4 linked regions of the Danio rerio genome follow. The protein of the gene in region 2 binds, or shares a complex with, the protein of the main gene of each other region. Links are inferred from orthologs where the notes say so. Each region holds a gene or a part of one and is shown on either strand. Other genes may lie near its edges. The genes, in order: pigp, pigq, pigc and pigh.

Evidence for each region.
Region 1: pigq (region 2) and pigp share a complex: the UniProt entries of both Homo sapiens proteins name them as parts of the glycosylphosphatidylinositol-N-acetylglucosaminyltransferase (GPI-GnT) complex. The link is inferred for Danio rerio from reciprocal best matches to the Homo sapiens genes PIGQ and PIGP.
Region 3: pigq (region 2) and pigc share a complex: the UniProt entries of both Homo sapiens proteins name them as parts of the glycosylphosphatidylinositol-N-acetylglucosaminyltransferase (GPI-GnT) complex. The link is inferred for Danio rerio from reciprocal best matches to the Homo sapiens genes PIGQ and PIGC.
Region 4: pigq (region 2) and pigh share a complex: the UniProt entries of both Homo sapiens proteins name them as parts of the glycosylphosphatidylinositol-N-acetylglucosaminyltransferase (GPI-GnT) complex. The link is inferred for Danio rerio from reciprocal best matches to the Homo sapiens genes PIGQ and PIGH.

The regions. Positions count from the first base shown.
Region 1 is NC_133185.1:415,656-422,124, reverse strand, and holds the start of pigp (phosphatidylinositol N-acetylglucosaminyltransferase subunit P), read right to left. Parts: upstream 4,234-6,469; 5' UTR 4,192-4,233; intron 4,087-4,191; 5' UTR 4,072-4,086; coding exon 3,984-4,071; intron 1,276-3,983; coding exon 1,203-1,275; intron 1,112-1,202; coding exon 993-1,111; intron 262-992; coding exon 158-261; 3' UTR 1-157. Other genes in the region: E3 ubiquitin-protein ligase TTC3, read left to right, coding at 6,160-6,225. UniProt on the Homo sapiens protein: Part of the glycosylphosphatidylinositol-N-acetylglucosaminyltransferase (GPI-GnT) complex that catalyzes the transfer of N-acetylglucosamine from UDP-N-acetylglucosamine to phosphatidylinositol and participates in the first step of GPI biosynthesis.
Region 2 is NC_133178.1:25,537,867-25,543,679, forward strand, and holds part of pigq (phosphatidylinositol N-acetylglucosaminyltransferase subunit Q), read right to left. Parts: intron 4,867-5,813; coding exon 4,746-4,866; intron 3,784-4,745; coding exon 3,657-3,783; intron 3,572-3,656; coding exon 3,418-3,571; intron 910-3,417; coding exon 798-909; intron 717-797; coding exon 636-716; intron 1-635. UniProt on the Homo sapiens protein: Part of the glycosylphosphatidylinositol-N-acetylglucosaminyltransferase (GPI-GnT) complex that catalyzes the transfer of N-acetylglucosamine from UDP-N-acetylglucosamine to phosphatidylinositol and participates in the first step of GPI biosynthesis.
Region 3 is NC_133195.1:16,063,650-16,069,987, reverse strand, and holds the start of pigc (phosphatidylinositol N-acetylglucosaminyltransferase subunit C), read right to left. Parts: upstream 3,516-6,338; 5' UTR 3,498-3,515; intron 484-3,497; 5' UTR 481-483; coding exon 1-480. UniProt on the Homo sapiens protein: Part of the glycosylphosphatidylinositol-N-acetylglucosaminyltransferase (GPI-GnT) complex that catalyzes the transfer of N-acetylglucosamine from UDP-N-acetylglucosamine to phosphatidylinositol and participates in the first step of GPI biosynthesis.
Region 4 is NC_133195.1:31,130,300-31,136,617, reverse strand, and holds pigh (phosphatidylinositol N-acetylglucosaminyltransferase subunit H), read left to right. Parts: upstream 1-2,294; 5' UTR 2,295-2,412; coding exon 2,413-2,589; intron 2,590-4,072; coding exon 4,073-4,282; intron 4,283-4,359; coding exon 4,360-4,443; intron 4,444-4,539; coding exon 4,540-4,614; 3' UTR 4,615-4,621; intron 4,622-4,718; 3' UTR 4,719-5,133; downstream 5,134-6,318. Other genes in the region: zfyve1 (zinc finger FYVE domain-containing protein 1), read right to left, coding at 1-312. UniProt on the Homo sapiens protein: Part of the glycosylphosphatidylinositol-N-acetylglucosaminyltransferase (GPI-GnT) complex that catalyzes the transfer of N-acetylglucosamine from UDP-N-acetylglucosamine to phosphatidylinositol and participates in the first step of GPI biosynthesis.

The sequences.
Region 1 (6,469 bases), on a different chromosome or scaffold from region 2:
AGTGCAGATGTGTTTTGAGGTGTGGCTTCACAGGGGTCGCTGAGGTCACGGCGGGGTCATCTGGAAGCCGGAGTTCAGGCCGTCACACACACCTGATGGATCTGCTCACCTGAGACGCCTCTGCAAACGCCTCTCCAGCGCTGATGACAGAGGCGGCTCACAGGTAAAACAGCCGGCTCATTTCACTGACCGACACGTCTCGGAGTCTGGGGATCGCTCCCGGCTGGTCCTCGTCCACCCGCTGACTCCTGCCATACGCATCTGGAGCAGCACACAAACCAGCGTTACGTGTGTGTGTGTGTGTGTGTGTGTGTGTGTGTGTGTGTGTGTGTGTGTGATTTAACACTGTCTAATGAGAACAGAATCATTCATCCAGTCATGAGAGTTCAGTTCTGGTGAATTAGACTGACAGAAGAGACTTCAGATTCGCTGACAGCACATTAGGAAAGTGTCTGTGACGGTTCAAGAGACTTTAGTGAAGATCAAGTGTCCAGATGTGGAGGAGTAATGTCAGAATCTGCTAATCTGCCATTCATCATAGGGGTTGAGACTGTTAACTCATTAAAGGAGACTTATTCTGCCCCTTTCTACAAGCTGTAAATGCGTCTCTGCTGTGTCTCTCTCTTGTGTGTGTGTGTGTGTGTGTGTGTGTGTGTGTGTGTGTGTGTGTTTGAGCTGAGAACAGTACACAGTTGATGTCCTCCAGCTCTCTGAAACTGACTCTTTCAGGCTGTGATCCTCATTGTGGTGTTTTGGTGACTGTCGCTTTAAATGCAAATGAGGTTGAGCTCTTTTTAGAAGAGGGCGGAGCTACAGACGGCTATGCGTCAGTGTGTGTGTTGTGTATGCATCAGTGTGAGTGTGTCTGCAGTCTGTGGCTCCTGTCTCTGTTCATCTAGAACTGCACATCTATAATGCTCTGAGTCTCCGCTGACATGATCTTCAGCAGCTCAAACACTAATGGCTCATGTGGTGTTAGTCTGAATTCTCACCTGTGATGTTGTCCACTGAGGCCAGCGGAGCCGTGTTCATCATATTCACTCCGAACAGTAGCACGAAACAGGTGCTCAGGGCCACCAGCAGGTATATGGGGCCCGCCAGAGCCCAGTATCTGACGACAGACAGACGGAGAGAGAGAAAGAGTGATTGATCAGACATTAAACATCAGCATCTGAAGAGCAGACGACAGACAGACCACTCACTTCTGCGGCCAGTAGGTCAGTCCGGCTGCATGGAGCCAAGAGTCAGGAACAAACGCCCAGACCACATACAGCACTGATGGAGAACACAAACACACACACAAACAAACACACACAACACCACAGATGAAGAACACACCAGCAGCTGCAATGTCTTCAAGATAGAGGTGTTTGTCAAGCAGAAGTACTGTTTTCTGTCATGCTGCATGTTTATTCAGATATCAATTATGAGTCCAGAACAAATAAATAATGCTCAAGTCATTTATAGTGAACACTGTAGTGTTTCAGCGACTGAGTCAAGTCCTGAAATTGATCTGCTGTGGTGATTCTACAGTCGCTATGGTAACATGACAATTATAATAATTGATCTGCTGTGGTGATTTTACAGTTGCTATGGTAACACATCTACAGTAATTGATCTGTTGTGGTTCTGCAGTTGCTATGGTAACAAAACTACAGCAATTGATCAGTTGTGGTGATTCTACAGTTGCTATGGTAACAAATCTACAGTAATTGATCAGTTGTGGTGATTCCACGGTTGCTATGGTAACAAAACTACAGTAATTGATCAGTTGTGGTGATTCTACGGTTGCTATGGTAACAAAACTACAGTAATTGATCAGTTGTGGTGATTCTACGGTTGCTATGGTACCACAACAGCTACAGTAATCTATGAGTCAGAACTGTATTCTTCTACAACTTTAGAGCACAATACACCACACTTTACCTGAGTAAACTGAAGTGTACTACAGTACTTCTTACTACAGTCAGCATTCAGCATCATAGCTAAACATACAGACAGTATAATGCCCTGTACTCTAGTGTGTGTGTGTGTGTGTGTGTGTGTGTGTGTGTGTGTGAGACACTGCTGTCAGTCTGTAGATTCTGTTGATGTTTCTGCCACAGGATTAAAGCCTCTCTTCATCTGTAAAGGACAATAGCCGCGTTTCCACTATCGCGCCTAAAGCGAGCGAGCCAGGGCGAGCCAAGGCCAGTGGGGTTTCCACTGTCACTTCCGGGGCCTAATCGGGCCAAAGCGGGGCTTTCTTGGGGCCAGCGGCCGGCCTTTTTCGGCCCGCCGAATACCTTGGGCCAAGGAGGGCCAGCTGGGGCTTCGGGGCGGAGTGAAAGAAGAGGCGGACAGTTTTCTGATCGCACATGAGTACATGCGCCAAACAAATAAAGAAATAAGGGAAAGAAAACATCTAGCCTTATAGTCTGGGGTCTTTTTGCGTATGATCACCCTTATGTTTCCCTTTTAAATGTAAGGCTCCTGCATAAAATAATAAAGTTGTTTTAATTTATAGTGACGTTCTTTGCTGCGTCCTCCTTTATGTTTCAACGCATAATAATCTTTACACCATATTAAAAACACAGCAGACAGTAAAAGTTTTCGAGAGTTTTTGTCAAGTTTAAAATGTTTGTTTGTTTGTGCACGTTTAGATGCCTGTATGTGTGTGTGAGACCGGGCAAAAGCGCTCCTTCACAGCTCTGTTATGCCGCGAGCGGCTTTTTTCTTTATTTATTTTGGAGATAATACACATATAAATACAACAGAAAGACATAAACTTAACAAAATACGTGCCCACTTTCGTAGACTTTAAACAATATATTGTCATATCTTGATAAAATAGCCTAAGGTATATTGAAATATAATTTAAAGAATTACAAATATCGGATATATAATCACATTAAATAAATTAACCAATATAAAATAAACAAAAGCTAACTATAACAATGTAGGTAGCCTATATACAATACATAAATCAAACCGTTTTAAAGCCACATATAGCCTAACTTTCATTTTGCAAAGACCTGTCTGAAAAAAAAAAAGATTTTCGATATTTTTTAAAAACAATAAACACCGGAGAAGGTTTGAAATATTTATATAAAGTAAATATTTATATAAGTAAATATTTATAAAGTATTTGGATACGATGATATTAATCAAATCGCGCAAACAGAGCATTATTTGAGTGAGTGAAAGCAGAATCTCCTATACCTTTTTTTCTGTCACTCAGTCCTGCGCAGCACTCGCTGCTTTAAACGCATATGGGGGAAGTCCAAACACAAAATGTGTTCTATATCCTCAAACAACTGTTTATGTTTTTATTTGACGTGGTTAAATTTATAAATGAAACTTTAAATGAGGAGTTTTAGTGAATAGCTGCCGAGCGCAACAAATATGGCTATATTTTATTAGGCTACTCGCTCTTGTGCTGAAAACTTAACACGACTTCTATCAACAAGAGGATGTTAAAAAATACATGACATATTGAGTTATAAAGGAGAATTTCTGTGGCTTTATATTATGGATGTGTGCGCTCTCTGTGTTGGGTCCCTGCGTTAGTGGCGAGAGCACTCCATGCACAATGCAGTCGGTCGGCGAGTAAACAAATGTAATGAATGGAAATACACAGGTCTGTGCGTATAGACATGTCATGTACTGCTGTACAGTAACGTGTCGTTTGTTTGTTTCGGTTGTCTTCATTTTAATGGTTTCGTTTCGTGATGATTTATGGTGTGCTTTATCTGCCTGATTCTCGCTGAAGTGGGCGGGTTGTGTGACGTTTGATTCGGGGACGTTCTGTGGGCGGTGTTTGCGTGACGCGCTGTGAGCTTTAGCCCGACAGTGGAAACGCGACATGATTTCAGCCTCATTTCTCAACCTCCCGGGCTGTTGGCCCGCCCCGGCCCGATTAAAGCCCTGGCTCGCACTGGCCCGATAGTGGAAATGCGGCTAATGTGTGTGCAATATCAGTACAGATCGAGTTAGAGACGTACAGAAGCCCAGCTGAGCGCCCAGGAACAGCACAAAGCCGTAGATGGCTCTTTCCGGCAGAGGAGAAGGAGAGTTCTCCACCATCACCATCTCCAGCAGCGACACCTGCGCGCGCACACACACACACACATCAATGCTCCAAACTAACACATCACACACGCTTTAGTTTCGATAAATACTATAACATATAAAACGAAAAACAGAACATACATGTCTTATTTCCTGATGGTGCTTCCTTGTGTTTCTGCGCAGGCGCACTGCGTCCTGCCGCCCCCGCGCGGCCTGGAGACAAACAAACGCGCGCGCACCTATTATTTGGTTTAATGCTCTGATTTTTATTTTCCATATAAATATTGTTTGTAAAAAATAATGTTGATTTTGAAGACGCTCTCTCTCCTTCATTCACTAATATCTGCGTGTATTAGCTCGGTCTGATATTCTGTGTGTTTATGACAGATTAAGAGCATGTACTTTACCGTACATGTTAAATATTTGTTGTGTTCAGCAGTTAAAATGAAGCGTATAAGTGTTCAAGTAAAACAACTAAAGAAGGCAGTAAATGACAACAGAATTAAAATGACTGGGTGAGCTGTGCCTTTAAGACAAACGTTGGTGTCCGCGGCCGAACAGCAGAGGGCGCGCTGACGTCACTCCGTCTAGAAGGGATACAGCTGCGGATTCTCACATTAGTATAGCACAATCTATACGACACTACAACAATATTGATTATTGTACATTACTGTGAGGGTAGAAGATAATTAAATACAGTTTAATGGGTAATTTAATAAATAATATGAATAATACTCTGTATAATTACTGTTTTTACATTACTGTGAGGGTTGTAGTAATACAATACAGTTTAATGAGCATTTTAATAAATAATATGAGTGATATTCGGTATAATTTCTGTTAATCCATTGCTGTGAGGTTTGGGGTTGGGGTAGGTAGACGTCAATACAATGTGCAATTAACTCAAATACAATTAATGGCTAATTTAAAATAAAGTAAAAACAAGTTGTTACTTCGGACAACACCTGTATCCCTTCTAGTGGTGAACAGCAGAGGGCGCGCTGATGCCACTCGCGCGGGCGAACAGCAGAGGGCGCGCTTCTTACTCCGCGTCAGTTTCGCGCTGCAGTTGATGCGTGAGGTTAAACATCAGGAAACAGTGGAGCTGCTCTTCTGAATCAGGTCAGTTTATAAACATTTCTCCCCGAATATTCACGACTGATGGACGGTTAGCTGCGGCAGCGCGTGTTCTTACTTCCGCGACGCCCCGCGTGTCATCAACACAGGTAAAGCGTCTGCCAGCCCAGAATGCGTCGCGTTCAACTTCCTGGTAAAGTTTGCGCCTTTCAGTGCGATAATTACAGATGTGCGAGCTGATCTTTAGAGGAGAAGAGATTAAACGCTCAATAATGGCGGAGAAATGACGAGTTTGGCGCCTTTTAGAGGCAGAAAAACACGAGCTGAAGGAGAAAAGCTGAACTCCTGAGGCGAAGCTGCGGATAAAGCGAGCAGGAGAGTTTACCTCAGCTTTACCACGGCACAGCTCGGGTTTGAGGAGAGGTTTGGCCAGGTTTGTGTCAGTTTAGACAGTAAACAGCTCGTGGTTTTGCAATGGAAGCCTCTGGGTCAGGTGTGTCTCCCCGAGGTGCATCATGGGAAGCGAGGCTGCTCTGATGTTTGCTGTAAAACTGTGCAGTTGGTGTTTACTAGGTTTATATAATGTTAGACACATCCACTCATTCCTGAACTCTTGTGACAATCTGTGACCCTCTCCATATGTTGTTCACCGCGCTACTGTGAATATTGGGTGTGGAACTGAACATTAGCACTGTTTAATTGACTGAACTGTTGTACTTCAGGCTCAGCCCTGCTCCTGGAGATCCACCTACCTACAGCATTCAGCTCCAACCCATATTAAACACACCTGCCTGTAGTTATGCAGTGCTGCTCAGGTGAGTTTGATCAGGGCTGGAGCTGAAGTGTGCAGGAAGGCAGATGTCCAGGAGCAGGGTTGAGCACCTCTGATGTACTTCGACAGTCATTTGGCTGACAATGTGATTTCTCTATGTCGTATGGGCTGAGAATGCTCTCTGCGAATGTAAAAACACCTTTACCCCCATCGAGATGCAAATCTTTTGCTGATTTTCCTGATTTTGTGTGTGAAGCAGAATGTCAGACAGTGACGACTCAGATCTGGAGGAAGGACCCAATGTTCAGAGGCACAAAACCAAGATTGTGAGTATATTTCAGTCATTTATTGCTTTCACAGCAGTGGCGAGGACAGAAGCGTTACAGTGAGTGGACAACAGTGCTCAAACTGAGTGTGTAGTGAGTCTATTCTTATATTGATCATCTCTGATAATATTAATAGATTTAAAGAGGCGTGAGCTGACATTTCTGACTATCCAACACTCTGTCTAGAAAAATGGCAGAAATGTGTGTAGAGTAAGTCTGCAGGGCATTGGGAAACACTGACATT
Region 2 (5,813 bases):
AAACCAAAAAATCAGTAGGTTTATACCAAAATGGTAAAAAGTACTGTTCAAGCATTTGGGATCAATAAGATTTATGCCCATAAATGAATATTACAGCACAAAAAGACTCTTAACACTTCACACATGCACGTGTTTTGGGCAACTGTTGTCTAACTGTATGAGGACATGCACTTCATCTCCAGAACTGGAAGTCACCTAATCAGCATTTTACCATTACATTTGAGTAAACAATTGTCCCAGCATGCTATGTAAAGTGCAAGACATGTCATTATTTGAATGATTTCCAAAGGATCATGTCACCACAGTGAAACCTGGAATAACAGCTGCTGAAAATTTAGCTTTACCAACACAAGAATAACATTTATACAAACAATTATGCAACATTACTGACCCCAACATGTTAATCAGTAGCGTGTATAGGACTAGCAGAATATTATCAAGAGTTAAAACATGCTAACCATTATGGAAACTAGGTTTAATGACATATGAGCTGGTGTATGATCATCTTAATGGTCGCATTCACAAGCACTGAATTGATGGTCTGAGTAACAGAAAATGTCAGAGAGCTGCATAAAATGGTCCAATAGCTCTGCTGGAATAGTGATGAGATTGAAGTTTATGTTGGAGTGACTCACCAGGGTAAAGACCAGGTAATAGAGGGCAGTGGTGGGCAGCAGGAACAGCAGAATTGTAAAGAGCAAAGTCCCTATGAACAACTGCAAAGAAAAGAGATCGGTCGAGTTCTGTGCGAAATGAACTAAATGGCCAATACATGAATAAATCATGCTGAGACGTACCTGGTCCAGGTCGTATGAGCACGAGTCCACCCTCTGCCTCAAAACGTTCCATTTCTTTCCTCTAAAGAGTCGCCAGAGCGAGGAGAGACCGTAGATCTTCAAACAGTACAGCCTGACAAGACAGAAGAACAAACACTTCACAAATAAAGAAACCACCCTGCAGTACTCAAAGAATAGAATAATGTCAAAGGTAAAATGAAAATGTTACCCAGGATCACTAAACCTCATAGGAATATTCAATTCAATTCAAGCTTATTTCTATAGCGCTTTTACAATGTAGATTGTGCCAAAGCAGCTTAACATAGAAGTTCTAGTAAATTGAAACTGTGTAAGTCCAGTTTTCAAAGTTCAGTTCAGGGTGGTTTAAATTTTACTGCTGAAAGTCCAAACACTAAAGAGGAAATCCATTGATGGGCAGCTCCACAAGTCTCAAACCAAGCAAGCCAGTGGCGAGGAACAAACTTCACCACTTGACAAAAGTGAAGGAAAGGAAAAGATCGAGAGAAACCAGACTCAGTTGGGCACTACCACTTATACATCTGACCTATATAAAATACAACTGACCCATATGAAAAATACATTGTATGGGTCAAATTCATGCCAAAAACCATTAGTATACTAAATAAAGATCTTGTTTCATGTTATAGACTATTAAAAATGTCCTACCATAAACATATCTAAACTACATGTAATGAGATATATACATTTCTAAAAACTAAAATTGAACAAGTTGAAACTATAACTCCAATATTATTTTTACTCTCACATTACAGATTTCAAAATAGTTGCCTTTCAGGCAAATAATGTCATATTCTAACAAATCAATCATCAATACAAAGCTGTTTTATTCAGCTTTTAAGTAAAGTCTTAATTTCAAAAAGCTGATAATTGTGACCCAGGGTCTATGGAATTTTGTTTCTTTATTATTCAATAAAAATATCTAGTTTTAAGGGAAAAAATAAGTATATAGTAATTTAAAAAATAAAAGACTGTTTAATTAAAAAAACTTATGTCAAGGGAGTCCAGTCCAATTCCAATTGCGCGAAAACATAGTGGGTGTGGCCAACCTGTGACCTCAATCAAGATTGACCAATAAAATAAGGCCTTTCATCCCGGTGAAATGTGCATTTTTTTGCAGTGCACATTTTTTATTAATGACATTTTTTAATTAAATGTTTTTTTTTTTTACTTTAAATCATTTATTTTTTAATTACAATGCACCTAATTTTGGTGAAAAATTCATATCATGGGTTCAAAACTTTTCCACACCAAGCAAAACTTTTAAAATCACAAGCAAAGATTGTAGAATGTAAATGGCAACAGAGCAGAGAGCGTGAATGAGTGTGGAAGGACAATTGTGTTATCTGCATAATAGGACAATAATTTTTTGCGATCCAAAATATTTTATCATTGACATAAGTTTTTTTGTTAAACAATTCTTTTAATTAAACAATCTTTTATTTTTTATTAACTATTTACCCTAAAACTTTTTTTTTTTTAAATAATAAAGAAACAAAAATAACTCCATAGGGGGCACAAGTAAAGACTCAGAACTCTAATTATAAGGTTTAGACAGATTTAAGAAAGAACCTTGAAAAAAAAAACTACACTCAAAAATGATATCAAGCCTGATGTCTTTAAATAACAATATATTTTTTCTTTCATGAAACACAAACTCCTATTTCACCTCTGTTTTCTGTGAAACTCTACTTGTACATTGTACACTTGGACGTTCAGTTTTCTTGCTAAAGGGACCAATTATAGAAGTTGATACTGCCCTCTACTGGAAATCAAAGTGTAAAAACATTACAGATACAATGGGGTATATGCACTCAGATTTAGAATTTTCAGTAAGCATACTCAAACGCTTCAGGTGAACTGTGATGCCATTACAAAATCACAATTAAGATCTAGTTTCTTTAGAAATCAATATTCTTCACTGCCTGATAGATATTCAATAAAAAGTGTGTCTCAGACTGGACAAGAAGCACTGCATTAAATTCCATTGTTCAATGCTATATCTTTAAATCTTATGGAAATTTATTTTACCACATTAATTTCAATGGATTATCTGTGCTCGCCTGCAGCTCCTGATGGTGCTTCTGTTTAAACTTTCATCCAATTTTAGCCCAGAACATATAAATGAACGCTGAAGTCCCTGTAACTGATAATATTTTAATTACATTGCTACATCGATACTGTAAAAGCAACCTTATGAAATTCTAAATAGTCACAAGCTTATCAGTGGCTGAACAACTAGCTATGCATATAGCCCATTGGCTGCAGCTGAAATCGCATAGTGTACAGGCACAAAAAATCTGCTGTATGCAATAATACATGTCTTTGAGAGGAAAACCTGCTGTTACAAATTTATCTAAATACTATTTTCAATAGTGTATATGGCGTCAAGTTGTTCACTAAAAGTACACAGCATTCGTATATAAAATTTTTTATTTGTTTTCTTACCACTAAATAAAGACTAAAAAATCTTTATGAGTCCTCTAAATAGAGACTTACAACTTTGTTCACACACTTTTTTTTTACCAAGTCTAAAGCATGTGATTTTGGATGCAGTCAGTTTGTTAGAAAACGTAATATAGAGAAAATAAATAAACCTCACCGTGCTCCATACACATAAAAGCAGTAGATGTGGAAAGTCAGGAGGGCCACAATGTCGGACAGGATGGAGAGCGCAAAAGTCAGCCCCAAGCAGGCTGAGAGTCCGACGTACCACAAGATCCTCTCAATGAAAGGAGACATCAGGTGGATGTAACCTGTTCACACAAATCACAAGATATCATGAGAATCTGGCATAAGTCTGAAACACCAAGAGAATGCTTCAAATTAGGCTGTACGTACTGATCCACAGATGAATGTGATAAAGAAAGAACCTCCCCAGCACTTGATCGAGAGCCTTGTTCATCTTCAGTCCAGCAGGAGCTCCCATCAGCCATTCTAACAGCTGCTGGAGCTCTTTGGCCACATGCTGAAACACAACCCAATTTTTTTTTTTATCATTATGCATGTATATTTATTTTAATATGTAAACTGATCCTAAGTGAAGCTAATATTTTTTTCCTCATTTTATTCTGGACTAATGGGTTTAAAAACAGCTTTGCAAACCAAGAAAACAAAATGAAAAGAAAATGTTTATTTATTTTATTTGTTGTAATATTTTTAACTTTTTTAATCAAATGAATCAAAGATAAATAAAATGAAGTGAAAGACAGAGCCTGTCACAATATATATATATATATATATATATATATATATATATATATATATATATATATATATATATATATATATATATATATATATATATTTTGTTGTATGATATATTGCACCAAATATATTGCAATAAACTATATTACTGTCATTTTAAGACCATTTTATGCCATTACATATTGCCAAAATGACAATATAATAGCATCACAATGCAAGTACACTCTTCCCAAAAACACATAATGTTTTATTCTGAAGAATATTTATTATAATTATAGTCATTTTAACAATTTAATAATTAGGCATTGGAATCAGAATGTGAAAACACATATCTTTAATAAATAATAATAAATATTAACCAAAAAGTGCGAGGTAACGAGTAACATAGGCTGCAATATCTGCTGCCAGATCTATTTTCAGTGTTCAGGCACCCACATAAAAATATAGTACAGTTATTTAAAGTAAATATTGCAGTTCTTTTAACCATACTAACATTGGCACCTCCAATAGAGATGTTGCGAAATCAGCTAAAATGTTGCTAGAATTGGTTTTTATGTACAAGCATTGGGCAATATATATTGCATCGGCAAAAAAGATTGAGGTCATGTCCATGTGTTGTGTGATAAATCGATATATTGATTATTGTGACAGGCCTAGTCAAAGAGACTTAAATAAATAATGTAACCCTAAAACTTTTTAATGGAAATATATTGTCATACTTACATCAGCCACAGGTACCAGAGTATTGGCTAATTTGCTGATACGATTCTCCCTATACAGCCATGAGATGAGCAGCAAACCAAAGGCTATGTCCACAAGGAAAGACACAAAGATGTTTGCTTTTCTGCAGAGGAGTGAAAAAAAGAAAGAGTTAAGAGATTATATTTGATTGAAAAATCTAATTAAAAAGTTAAACATTTAAGTAATTAACATGCTATTTTTATAATGATTTCTAATATTGCATTTCATTCTAAATAATATTTTGAAGAACAAGTAAAAACAAATCTAAACATTAAGATCAAAATGTTTCATTACAAGAATGAATGTAGATTTTTATTTTAGAATAGCATTTACAATGCAACAATTGTCATAATAAATAAGTCTCTTAAAATATCAGGACACTTGACCTTTTTATTAATGCAAGATTAATTACCTTGAGTATTGATGAGTACTTAAAATTGTTTTAATGAGAACAATAATCATTACTTATACATGTTATGAAATTTACTTTTAAAATACTTTTAACTTCAGAGAGTGTTTTATTTCATTAAACTGATTTTTAAAATAGGGATTAAGAATCTGCATGATATTGGAAAAATCTGACATTGCAAAATTTTGTTCTTCTGCAATATATATATAGTGTAATATATATTGCAATATATAGTGTGAAATTTATACAATTTCTCCTAAGACTGAATAGCACTTATTTGAAAATAATTTATTATTATTATTTTATGGTTTAATTATATGGCTTTTGTCTCAAACTCCTAATTTGCTCCTTATTAATAGTTATTAAGGTAGATTAGGTATTGGTAGGACTAGGGATGAAGTATAAGATTATGCAGAAAATGTAGTTTATAAGTACTAATAAACAGCCGATATCTCAATAACATGCATGCTAATAAGCTACTGGTTAATAATGAGAATTGGTCCCTAAAATGTTACCGAATGTATAAATTTTGATTAATTGGGATGATTTAGTAGAAGAGTGAATAATGTAAAAATAAAAGTGAAATAAACATGCTTTATGGTTTTGTAAATGTAAAAATGACACTGCAAAGTCTTTACTGT
Region 3 (6,338 bases), on a different chromosome or scaffold from region 2:
CACCAGATGAGCCAGGAGCATAACTGCCGACATGGCGTACACGGTATCAGTGCTGACCGACTCGGTCAGAGTCTTTAAAACTGGTGAAAACCCAAAAGTAAATGCTAGGAAGACAGCAGCGCTCTGCAGGTCCGCAAGACGCGTCCGTTTGCCATCACTGGCTCCTCCCAGGACCTCATAGAGCCCGTATCCAAACAGAGCGCAGCCTAGGCAGACGCATAACACGGCAGACGGCTCCAGCTCACCCTGCTCCATGTAGGACCACAGTGTGAGAAAGAGGGCCACGCAGGACACCTGCTGGGCGATAAGGCCTGTCTCGCGAACCACAGCCCAGTAGCGGTACTGGCGGACGCGGATGTTCCGCCGCAGCTCCTCCAGGAAACGCCGGTCCACATAGTTGTCTGGGAAAGGCTGCCGTTCATAGAGCACTTTCCTCCACGGGACGGCCGAAGGAGCCCCTGGACCGCTGTCTGCTCCCATCGCCTGTCCAAATCAGAGAACACAGTGGCTGAACATTAGCTATGCATGATATTGGGAAAAAATGTGACATTGCTCATTTTTAGTTTTGCTGCCACATTAGGAATTCTCTATTGAACATGACATGTTTTTATCTAGGAATAATGTTTCTAAAGGAGCTGTTGACATGAGATTGATCCTGATTTTGGTAAAAACTCAAACAATACAAATATTAAAATAGAATAAAATAAAACACATCTGAAAAATAAGTGATGTGTAATAACAATGGAATGACACAAGGAGAAGTGTTGAACTACTGAAATACTTCATATAAAAAGCTTTTTTTGATGATGGCAGCTTAAAGACGCCTCTCATATGGAGAATGAAGTCACATGAATTGCTAAGGTGTGAGTTCTTCAGAGACTTCAACACTGTGTAAAAATCTTAATGGTTATGTGAGTCCCATCTTTCAAATCTGATCTTTAATTTGTATTTTTTATTGGGTTCAAGTCAGGTGATTGGCTGGGCCATTCTACAGCTTGATTTTCTTTCTCTTTTCTTAGCTGTGTTTTGAATCATTGTTTTGCTGAAATTTCCGCTATGGTTTCCTTTTTATCATCCTGCTAATGTAGATGTTGGACTGAAGCAGCTGATATTAATTTACAATGGCGAAGAAAAGGGGGTTGCTGAAGAACTACTGAGAGATTTCAGCTGCTGTCTGGGCTTTTATTGTCATTCTGCACCTCTCTATCTTCATGTGTTTAATATTTTTTCCCTGCTTCATTTTTTTTATTACACATAACTTTATTTGTAAAATAATTAGATTTGTTGTCTTTGCATACTTAGATTTTTTTGATTGTTTTAAACATCTGGGAAATATTTTAAGTCAACAGCGCCTTTAGTAATATGTTTTCTGAAAAGAAAAGGTGATGTGTGGAATACTTATTTCCCCCACTGTTTTGTGACACGAATATAGTTTCACCAGATGAATCGAATACTTCTATTTGGAAAGATTTCATTAATTTAGATCGACTGATTGATCAAGTGTTTTTCTTTTATTTATTATTTTATTGCTTTGATGATGCAATTAACCCTTTGCAGGTAGTTTGATTGACAGGCAATCCAGCCAATAATACTGCTGATATCCTGCGATGATCTTGTATAACTTTCTGCATTGTTGTCAAACAGGCATCATGGTAGAGTAACATTTTACAATACAATGGTGAAAATAATCTCATATGGGACTCCAAATGGTACTCAGGTACACAGAAAATTATTTTCTATGCAGTGAGTTTGCATAAATCATAATGCATTACGAGCATTCATTCATTTTCCTTGGGCTCAAGCTGCAGTCACACTAGAGTTTGTGTGTGCAAAATTCTGTCGTATGGCGATGCGAAAAGGGGCGGGATTAAACAGAATTATTACTATTAAGCATTAAAAAAAGCGAGCGATTGCTCCGTGTTTTCAATTTCTTTTCTTTTTTTCTTCAATTTCAATTTTAGGCCAGTTAAGAAACCAATATTACCGAATATTACCAAAATATTACCAAATATAAGAAACCAATATTAATAACCTAGGTTGTTAATCACAACAATGGAAAATGTTCACAACAATGGTGGGGTGGGCTCTAAAATGACAATACTCAGATTTTAAATTTGGAATAAATGTTATAAGAAAACAATATTTTATATTAATATTTTAAACAATTTGTAAATTCAGTACATCCAGAGAAACTGAGAAATTTTCATTGGTCTTTAAGTACACTTAATTTTTTTTTTATTGTCAACATTTACTCCCCCTTCACTTGTTTAAACCCTGTTTGGGTTTCTTTCTTCTGCTGAGCACAAAAGTAGATGTTTTGAAGAATGCTGGTAATACGTATGGGTTGATAACCGTATTCAAGGTATACCACGGTTTGGAAAAATCAAGGTTTTAAATTTTTTTTTTTTGCTATACCGTTCCAATGGTTTATGTAGGTTTGTTTGTTTTTATGTTTTTAGGACATAAGTATCTCCAGCAGAAGATATCCTAAAATGCCATTTTTAAATTATAAATAAATCAGTGTTTTTGAAGCTAATCAAGAGGGAGGAAGTCAAAGATTGATTTAAATTATTTAGCCTGACATGTTTATTGTTACAAAATATTTTTAAAAGTTTGTCAAAATAAAATATATTGTGTTCAAAGGTAGAAAAAAGTTTGTTGTTTATCCAGACGATTAAAAAGAATTTATTTTAGAGCAGTAATAGCAATACCGTGATATTTTCATCCAAGGTTATCATACATCACAATCTTAAACCAGCCTATCGTCACCTTAGAATAATAAGGTTTTATCTGCATTCTGAATGATTTTAAAATATTGAGCTTCAAAGTTTTTGCATTGCATAGCAAACAGTATGTGTGTAACATTTGTTTTTTAAATAAAAAATCTTAAAATGTAAACAACTTATAAAAAAACATCGCATAATGTAAATAAGTTGTCATTTAGTAAGAATATGTCAATAACTCAGTTTTGACAAAAATGTCAAATAGAACCTTATAAGGTGACGCCATGTCTAGCTGATACCTGGCACCCTTTGACTTCAATAGCAATTGCTTTGCCTTTGTAAGTAGATGGGTCCCAGCATCCATCATTCATCAAAGTATCTTCTTTATGTTCGACAGAAGAAAGAAACTCATAAAGGTTTAAAACCAATTAGAGGGGCCAGTTAGATTTTTGCGTGAACTACACCCTGTTCTCCACATATCATGTATTTGCTTCATAGTTTATATATAAAGAAAAACATTAAACACCACAAAACTTTAAGCAGCATTGTTTATCTTTGTGTAAGTAAAACGTGCATTTAATCAATCTATTATTATCCTAAATGTCAAGCGGTATCTGACTGACAGCTTCTCACGTCAATCTGATTCATACAGAATGAATCAATCATACAGTCATACAGTAAGCCAGCTGGCGACAGTGTATAAATACAGACAAAATATATTATTTCATATCAAACTTATACAGAATAATGTTCAAGATAAATCTAAAATCTTACCGAATGAGCAGGGTTTCCTGTATTTAGCCGCAGCTGTCAAGCCATCATACATCCGGAAGTGACGTACCAAAAAACAAAAACAAAAGCGCAACCGTGGTATTGACTGAAGAGCGCCACCTGACGACTGTTCCTCACAACCGCCGACGAGTGAAAAGTGAGATGCATATACATTTAATATTTATATAGTCTATGGGTAATCCTCTCTTGATTAATTTGTAACAGCATATGACTAAAATTTAAATAAAAAAACAGTGTTTAGTAATTTGAGTTATTGTTACATTTGTTTGACCCTCATTAGTGGATAATCATATTTGGAGTCCGTCTGCACACAAACAATTTATTTTCATTCATTTTAGTTACTAATATTACACTAATACTTCAGTATTAGAGTATTTAAAATAATTTGACTCAAACAATATTGTATAACACAGGGCTTCTTTCATTTGTAGCGGACTCCTCAAATGTGATTGATTTTATTTTATTCTACAATTATTTTTTTTCATTCATGAGGAAAAAGTGTCGTTTTGGATGTGACATGTCTCCATAATGGATGTGACAGATGTACAATTGCCACTTGTGTGACTTTGGTAAATTAAATACAGTAGTTTGAAAAAATTGACAGAGACATTTATTTATTTATTATTGAATTATTTTTAGTTTAGCACTTTAATACTGAGTAAAACAGCTTATTGGCTTTAAAATGAAGGATTTATTTCATACAGTTGTAATAAAAGTCCATCAACGAACGTATAGAAACACCAAGCTAAGATTCATTCATTCAGATGTAAAAAAAAAAAGCATCAAACCTATTCACAATCAACATGTAGTTCTAGATATTGGCCAGAAGGTGGTGATATGAGATCAGAAATTCAACGAGAAAAGATCAGTAACTAAAATAATGTAATATATATATATATCATCCTTTATATTAAGTCAATAATAATAATAATAGTAATAATAATTGTTTCTATATTTTATAATTGTGCAGAGTCAGATCAAGGGCTGCACAGTGGCGTAGTGGGTAGCACGTTCACCTCACAGTAAGAAGGTAGCTGGTTCAAGCCATATGGTCCAATTGGCATTTCTTGCATGTTCTCCCCGTGTTTGCATGGGTTACAGCAGTACAGGTGAATTAGCTAAGCTAAATTGTCCATATGTGTGTGAATGAGTATGTATGGATGTTTCCCAGTGATGGGTTGCAGCTGGAAGGGCATCTGCTGCATAGAACATATCCTGAATAAGTTGGTGGTTCATTCTGCTGTGGTGACCCCAAATTCATAAAGGGACTGAGCTGAAAAGAAAATGAATGAATGAATGAATGAATGAATGAATGAATGAGAGTCAGATCAAGTTAAAGGCTATGAACTAACTTGAGCAACTATGATGAAGCCACTATTACATTGGAAGCACAAAACAGTCTGACCAATAGACAAACAGAAAAGCACAGAGCAGAGCAGAAAGAGCAGCAGATCCTAGAGGACAGACACTCTCAGAGGAAAAGTGTTGTTGTAGAAACACAGAAATAGACCAGAGAGAGAGAGAAATCATTTTTTTTTACCATACTTAAATAAATCAACTTACTTGTAGGCATGGGCCGGTATAAGATTCTGACGGTGTAATAACCTTGGATATAAATAGCACAGTTTTACTGTTTCATGGTATTCTGCTCAATGCTCTAAAATCTGTTCTTTTTAAATGTCTGGGTAAAAAACAAGAACTTTTTTCCCATTTGAACACAATATATTTTCATTTGAGAAACATTTACAATATTTTGGAGCAGTAAACATGACGGGCTGAATAATTCAAGTCAATCATTGACTTTTGCTGTCTTCATTAGTTTCAACAACAGACTTCTTCACAATTAAAAACAGCATCTATGTATGAGAGATGGAGATACTGTTGTCCTAAAAACAAAACAAACAAAAAAAAAATGCAAATAAAAAATCTTACACATACCTTTGTAGAGCTGAGCGATATGGCAAAAATGTCATCTCGAAAATCATTTTCCATATTGAACGATAACAATATATTTTTAAGTTGTTAATGCTTTAAGATTTTAAAAGAGTATCCCAACAAGGACTGAAGTCACAAAAATTAGAGGATCCGATTAAACAGCATAACATATTTTCGGCCAAAAAATTTTCAGTGGCCAAAGATTCGGTCCATCTCTAATATCACACACTTTTAGATTCCCATTGTGGCACTTTTCTGCTGTGTGATTGGCTCCTAGATTATTATAGAGTTAAAAGTGCATTGCTTATCATTGTTACAGACATAAATTTGATTGTGATTCAATATAATATTGTTTATCGGCTCAGACTAATACCGTAGGATGGCAGAAAATTTTATCAGTTTTAAAACCTTGACTTTTTCAAACCGTGATATAAATTTAAAAAAAATATCATCCCATGCTAACCTACAAGACACAAAAAACATATATATATACACACACACACACACACACACACACATATATATATATATATATATATATATTACTGTCATCATGGCAAACATAAAATAAAACAGTTATAAGAAATGAGTTATTAAAACTGTTATGTTTAGAAATGTGCTGAAAAACATTTCTCTCCATTACACAGAAATTGGGGACAAAAATAAACAGGGGGGCTAATAATTCCAGGGTGCTAATTATTCTGACTTCAACTGTATATATTACAACAACAAGTTGATAATTAAATTGTACATTAAACAGCACATTGAGTAGAATAGAGTGGGTAACCAATTTTCATTTCTCTGTTTGATATTTGGCGCCAGTTTACTCACTGGATGGAAACGGTGCTTTATTCGCAAATGTTTTATGTAATAGTCCCAGTTTTGTAT
Region 4 (6,318 bases), on a different chromosome or scaffold from region 2:
TTGACAGTCCAAGCACAGGTTGATTTTGCACCCTTGACATCGAACCACTGCTCTCAGCCGACCCCCGTTCGGCACCCCTCCATCACCTTTACACGAATCGCAGTAGGGTACGTGGCCAGGAGCGATTCGGATCCTGTCGTGGTTCCTCATGCGGTCCTGACGGTGGAGCTCCAGCTCGCAGCGGATGCACTGCAGGCTGCCGCATTCGTCGCACTCGAAGGCGGCCTCGTCCGTGCCACCGCAGGCGTAGCTCTCCTGACAAACCAGAACGCCGTTCAGCCCCTTCTCCGCCGACGAGCCCTGGCCGCTCATTATACGTCCAAATATAATAGCGAGGTAACGGAAGCGAACGAACTTGAACGGAAATTTCTCTGAAAGTTACTCAACTACAGCAGAGAGCAACCTAAATGTACAATCAACTACTGACACGCTATATAATACCTCATAGATAATGCATTTAGCGTCCTAAACAATATATCTCACTCGTCTGCTGTGAATTTCATTGGAATTCAAAATGTGATGTCAAATTATGACACTGGCTTAAAATCAAATATTCAATATGAACTATAAATAGATCAGTTGACATCCGTGTAGCACTGGCACTAGGACAGATTGTCGAGCTTTCTAATTGATTTAAAAGTGTTCAAGCGGTCTAAACTGACAATCTACAAGCCATAAGTATCGAAATGTTTGTATTGGCAGACATAAACACTGAGAAAACAGCTACATTCGAGTGTTGTTATCGCCCTGGGCTTTTGTTACTCAAGCTAGCTACGATTAGCATACGTGACTGGGCTGTCTCCTCTAGTTTCAAAGACTAAATACTAGTGGGGTTAGAAAATATGACTTCTGTATCTGAATTAATAATGGTTTAGTATCGTACAGTCCTTAAAGTATGTTCACCCAACAACACACACTGATCAACAGAGCTTTGACCGAACAAAACAAGCTGATTTCGAGCCAGAATCACACCGCAGTTTTCAACAAACGAGCTGCTGAATTCCCTCAAACATCGCACACGACAACGACTCTGTCATAAACACAAAAACAATAAGCCGGTTGATGTGAAGATAACTGTTTTTGCCCACCAGCTTGTAAAATGATTCCCCTCCCCGGTAGATTCGGGTGAATGTTGTTGCCAGGTCAGATCAGCTGATCGGCTTGTTTTCACTGGAGCGGGAGTCAAAGGTTACCGACCGCAGGGGCTGATGGGAAATGCAGTCAGATCTCATACATTTCCTAAAGAATCGATAATGCAATGGGGAGAGGTCATCTGAAAAATATTTCAAAAACAAAATGGTGGTAGAATACAATTTATGGGAATGTACTAGGCAGTTTTTTTATTGTAGGCTACATTTATTTGGTCGATTATTACCTTCACATTGCTGGTGACAAAGACACTAAAATATAAATAAAATAAAATACTTAACATTTTAATTGTTACTCAAGTTAATATAGTCTTACTGCATAATCTAATAACATCAAAACAGTTAGCGTATTTCACATGGCACTCCGGGGGTATCCTGCTGTTCCCAGGCCAGCCGAGAGCCGTCCTGGGTCTTCCCCGAGGCCTCCTCCTGGTGGGACATGCCTGGAACACCTCCCAAGGTAGACGTCCAGGAGGCAGACTTCTCAGCTGACTTCTCTCGATGTGGACAAGCAGCGGCTCTACTCTGAGCTCCTCCCGGGTGTCAGAGCTCCTCACCCTATCCATAAGAGTGCACCCTGCCACCCTTCAAAGGAAACTAATTTTGGCCTCTTGTATATGAGATCTTTTCCTTTCCGTCATGACCCAAATCTCATGACCACTGGTGAGAGTAGGAACGTAGATTGACCGGTAAATCGAGAGCTTTACCTTTCGGCTCAGCTCCTTCTTTACCACAACGGACCGGTACATCGACTGCATTACTGATGACGTTGCATCAATCCACCTGTCAATATCACTTTCCATCCTTCCCTCACTCGTGAACAAAACCCCAAGAAACTTAAACTCCTCTACCTGGGGTAAGAACTTTCCTCCAACCTGGAGGTGCAAATATTACTAATCAAAAATTTTATTATTTACTTGTATTTATTTAAAAAAATATATTTTTGTGAAACATAGCTCAGTAAATAACTTAATGAAAAAGATCATTTAGGCTTTTACAATGTACTTTACAGTGTACTTGTTTTCACTGGAGCGAGAGCTAAATATTTTTGTGCAACTGGTTTTGTGGTCCAGAATGGGAGTTTTCAACCCCAGTCCAGTAGATGGCGAAAACGCACCTGTATGTTATTTTGCCAACGTCACATTATCATAAGAAGAAGATGGTTTTACTGTTGGTGGAAAAATAATAATCTAAGCAAAACTATTTATTCTGAAGTCTTTATTAATGTAATTTTCCGACCGCGAAATAACCAGCAGTGATCGAGATGGCCGACGAAGAGTTCACAGACATAAATGGCAACTGGATTTCTTTAGACTGCCAAACGCACTCTTCTTTCTGCAGAGAGTTTACTGTTACCTCACCCAAACTGTCCTTGCGCAAGGTGATGGTGTACACCTGCTGTGTGTGGTTATTTGCTTATGCTGTGTTCTTCTTCACCCAGGTAAGAACATTTTATCATGCGGACTATGAAGGCCTTGGCGTCTTTTGCTGTTTATTAGACAAAAAATGACTGTTTATTGGACTTTGATTTGACATTGCGCGAAAACGTCTATTATACAGTTGAAAACAAATTTATTAGCCCTCCTTTGAAATTGAACTTTTTTTTACTAAGTTATTTTCCCAAGTTTTCTTTAACGTTTAGAGAAGATTTTATTTAAAAAAAGAATTTAATGATAACATAATTATTTTGTTTTTTGCCATAATGAAATTAAATAATATTTTACAATTTATTTTGCAAAATACTAGTAATATTAATCTAAAAATGCAATTTAAAGGCTTAACTGGGTTATTTAGGGTTAACTAGGTCAAATCATTGGACAACAGTGGTTTGATCTGTAGCCAATATTTAATATTTCTTAAGGGAAAAAAAATACATATTTAAAATGTACGTCCATATAGTGAGGAAACAGAAGTAGTTTACGTTGTCATTTATAGTGCATTTATTACAGCTGCTGAGTGCAGGTTAAAACATTTGATTGTGCATGAGGCTGTATTTGGAGATCAAAATAAGAAAACAATATATAGTTTCTCTGAAAAAAAAAAGCTTCTAAAAAGTGTAAATGAAAAGTATATTTGGAAATACTGTAAATATTTTCCTTGCTCTGTTAAAATATCCATCGGCAATTATTCTAAGAAAAAGGATTTTACAGTAAGGCTGATCATGTGGTCTTCAACTGTATTCAGTGATTTTATCACATGAGCCAAACCATAAAAAATGCTTTCTTTACCCATCACAATATGCAATTTTAAAGAAGATAAAACCAAAATACAGAATATGTTGGTTCAATAAAGTCGTATCCCTCTAAATCCAATACACTCAGTAACCATTTCATTTGGCAGGATTATAGTCGAACAGGAACCCAAATTAATCATGTTTGTGTTTTTAAGGCCTGTGATTGTGTAAGCATGTAAAGCATTCATGCATAATGAAATAATGAAAACTATTTTACATTTGATTACTCAATTTGAGTACCCGAATACTGCTAGAAGGTTGTTGTTTTCATTCATCGCTTTGCTCTACTGTTTTTATCAATACTTTTGATTGATTTATTAAATTTGATGCAGATACACTCCACAAAATCATCATAATCAATGTAAAATTATGTAAATTCTTTCCAAATAGAGCTATTCATTTCATCTGGTGAATTTATTTACAGAATCTCAATGTGTATTGACAAAAAACTAAATACTGCAATATCAGCTTTTTCCCAATATCATACAGCCCTAGTATATATCTCAAAATTCCACTTAGTACTAAGCAAGAAGAACTTATTCAGGAATTTCCAACATGGCTGCGATTGAAAGTTTGATATTATAATAGAATATATGAAATATTTTCGTGAATGTCAAGCAAATGTTCAATATAAATCTAACCTAATTGCTCTTATTGATCTAATATAATTCTCCTTCTGTTTAATATTCAGAACACGGCGGTTCTGTCAAGTGCCATCATCCTCACTTTAGTTGGGATGGTGATTCATATTCACTTTGTGAAGGTGGACCATGAGACCCTTCTCATAATAGGCTCTCTGGGTGTCCAATTGTCCTCGTCTTACGCCTCTGGACGAGAAAGCACGACTTTCATTGAGATGAGCAAGCTGAAAGACATCGTCATAAATGAGGCTGTTTATATGGTAAACACACAGTGACCTTCACGCATGATAGATATCGAGATGTAAAAATAATCAGTGTTTGTGTTTTTGCTCCTCAGCACAACATCATATACTATCTGTGCATTCTCATCAAGGACCCAGCAGATCCTGAGACGGTGACCAGTGTTGTTCCTCTCTTCCAGGTTCAAAACAGCTGTTGTTATTCATTCGCAAAAGCAAGATTATAGGAATTTGTGACATCTCAGTATGTAAATGAACACCTTTGGTTCTTCCTCCAGAGTTCAAAGCCTCGGCTCAATTGTTTGATTCAAGTGTACAAGAGCTGTCAAGAAATTCTAGCACAGAGCAGATGACGCAGAGGTAATGCTTCATGTTTTGCTAGATATTCTGCATGTTTTACATGACTGACATAGTTCTGTGTCTATATATGCTTTATGACTCCATGTTTTTCGATCAGCAGAGGCTTTCTTTGAAGATGAATGAAGATTGGAAAACTCCAGAACGAATCATAAGCACATTGTTGGTAGCTTTTTTGTATTGTCAGTAATACACAATGCATTTTGTTACATGCAGAAGTTTTTAGATAGGCTTCGCATTCAAAAACGTTTGTACATAACAGTATTCTTGCCTCATTTAAAACATTATTTAATGATTAGCCATTTAGTTTTTTAGGATGTGTTCACACTTGTTTTGCATAATTTTGTTAAAAAAAACTGACAACGGAATATTTTCAATATATATTTTAATATGAAGACTTGAATAGATCTATTCAGAAATAATTCATTATTTTAGATTGATTAGGGTGATTATTGTTATTATTATTATTATTATTTTCCATTTTAGGGGAGCACATTTGGATCAAATATAACAAATCACAAGAAAAAATAAGTACAACAGAAAATACAATGGTCTATGGTTCACTGGTGAGACTAACAATACAGAAATAAATATGACACTGAAACAATTACTGTATGGTATAAATATTTAAATACAAGTAATCTTTGTTAAAGCTACAGACATAATTGCTTAAATGCTTTTAACAGGGTGTCCCCGAGGTCTTACAAAGTAATAAAGTGTCTTAAATTTCAAAAAACAAAATTTTAGGCCTTAAGTTTGAAATTCACTGCAATATTGTGCTGCGAGTCTTAAATCATTTTACACAGGTCTTATTTTACTATTTCCATTTAAAGCTACCCTATCGGGCTGACACCCAATCACCAATAATCAGTCTTAATTTTTTGGTTCATATTTAGTTTTTTTTATTGTTATTATTTTTATTATTTAAAAAGATACATGTCACATAAGCTGTTAGACATTTTTACAGCTAATTAAATTCCCTAATCAGGGAAAGAAAACTAAAGCAACGCATCCTTTTACATGATCTTCCATTAATACAAAAACTATTTACAGAAGTAACCGGGCCATTCAAAATTCTTAGTGTTTAGAGCTGTATCAGTCTAAAATTTCACTCATATGCTTTTGAAAGGGTCTTAAAAAGTCTTAAGTTTGACTTGAAGAAACCCTGTTTAAAACCCTTTTTTAGAAATGCCTTAAAAACACCTGGAAATAATAAACAATAAATTTCTTATGATTAAACAATAAAATTCGGGGTGCTGGTCAACCATAATACAGACTCAACATTGTAGATCCTGCGATGAGACAATTGCAAATGTACACATTGCGATATTAATGCTGAAATGATATATTGTGCATCCCAGCAAGTGGATCAACCAGATAAATCTTGGTGCATTCCCAAAAACACAAGATGTGACTATTAAAAGGATTGATTGATGAATTATGTTCATATTCTGAACCCATAGTGAAACGGGACCACGTGTGTAATAAATTTTTTGCTCTGCACCAAAAGAACAGAACAGAGCTCTACAATAAGTGTGAACACACCCTAAGTGCTTTCATTCCCTTTAAAATGCCTCTGGAAAATGACACTCCAACCAATTTTTAGATTTATACACTGAATCATTTAGTGTAGAACTAAATTACGTGTAAGTTTAAAGAACAGGAATAAATAGTAATTGAAAGAAAGCTTAAGTTGTAGC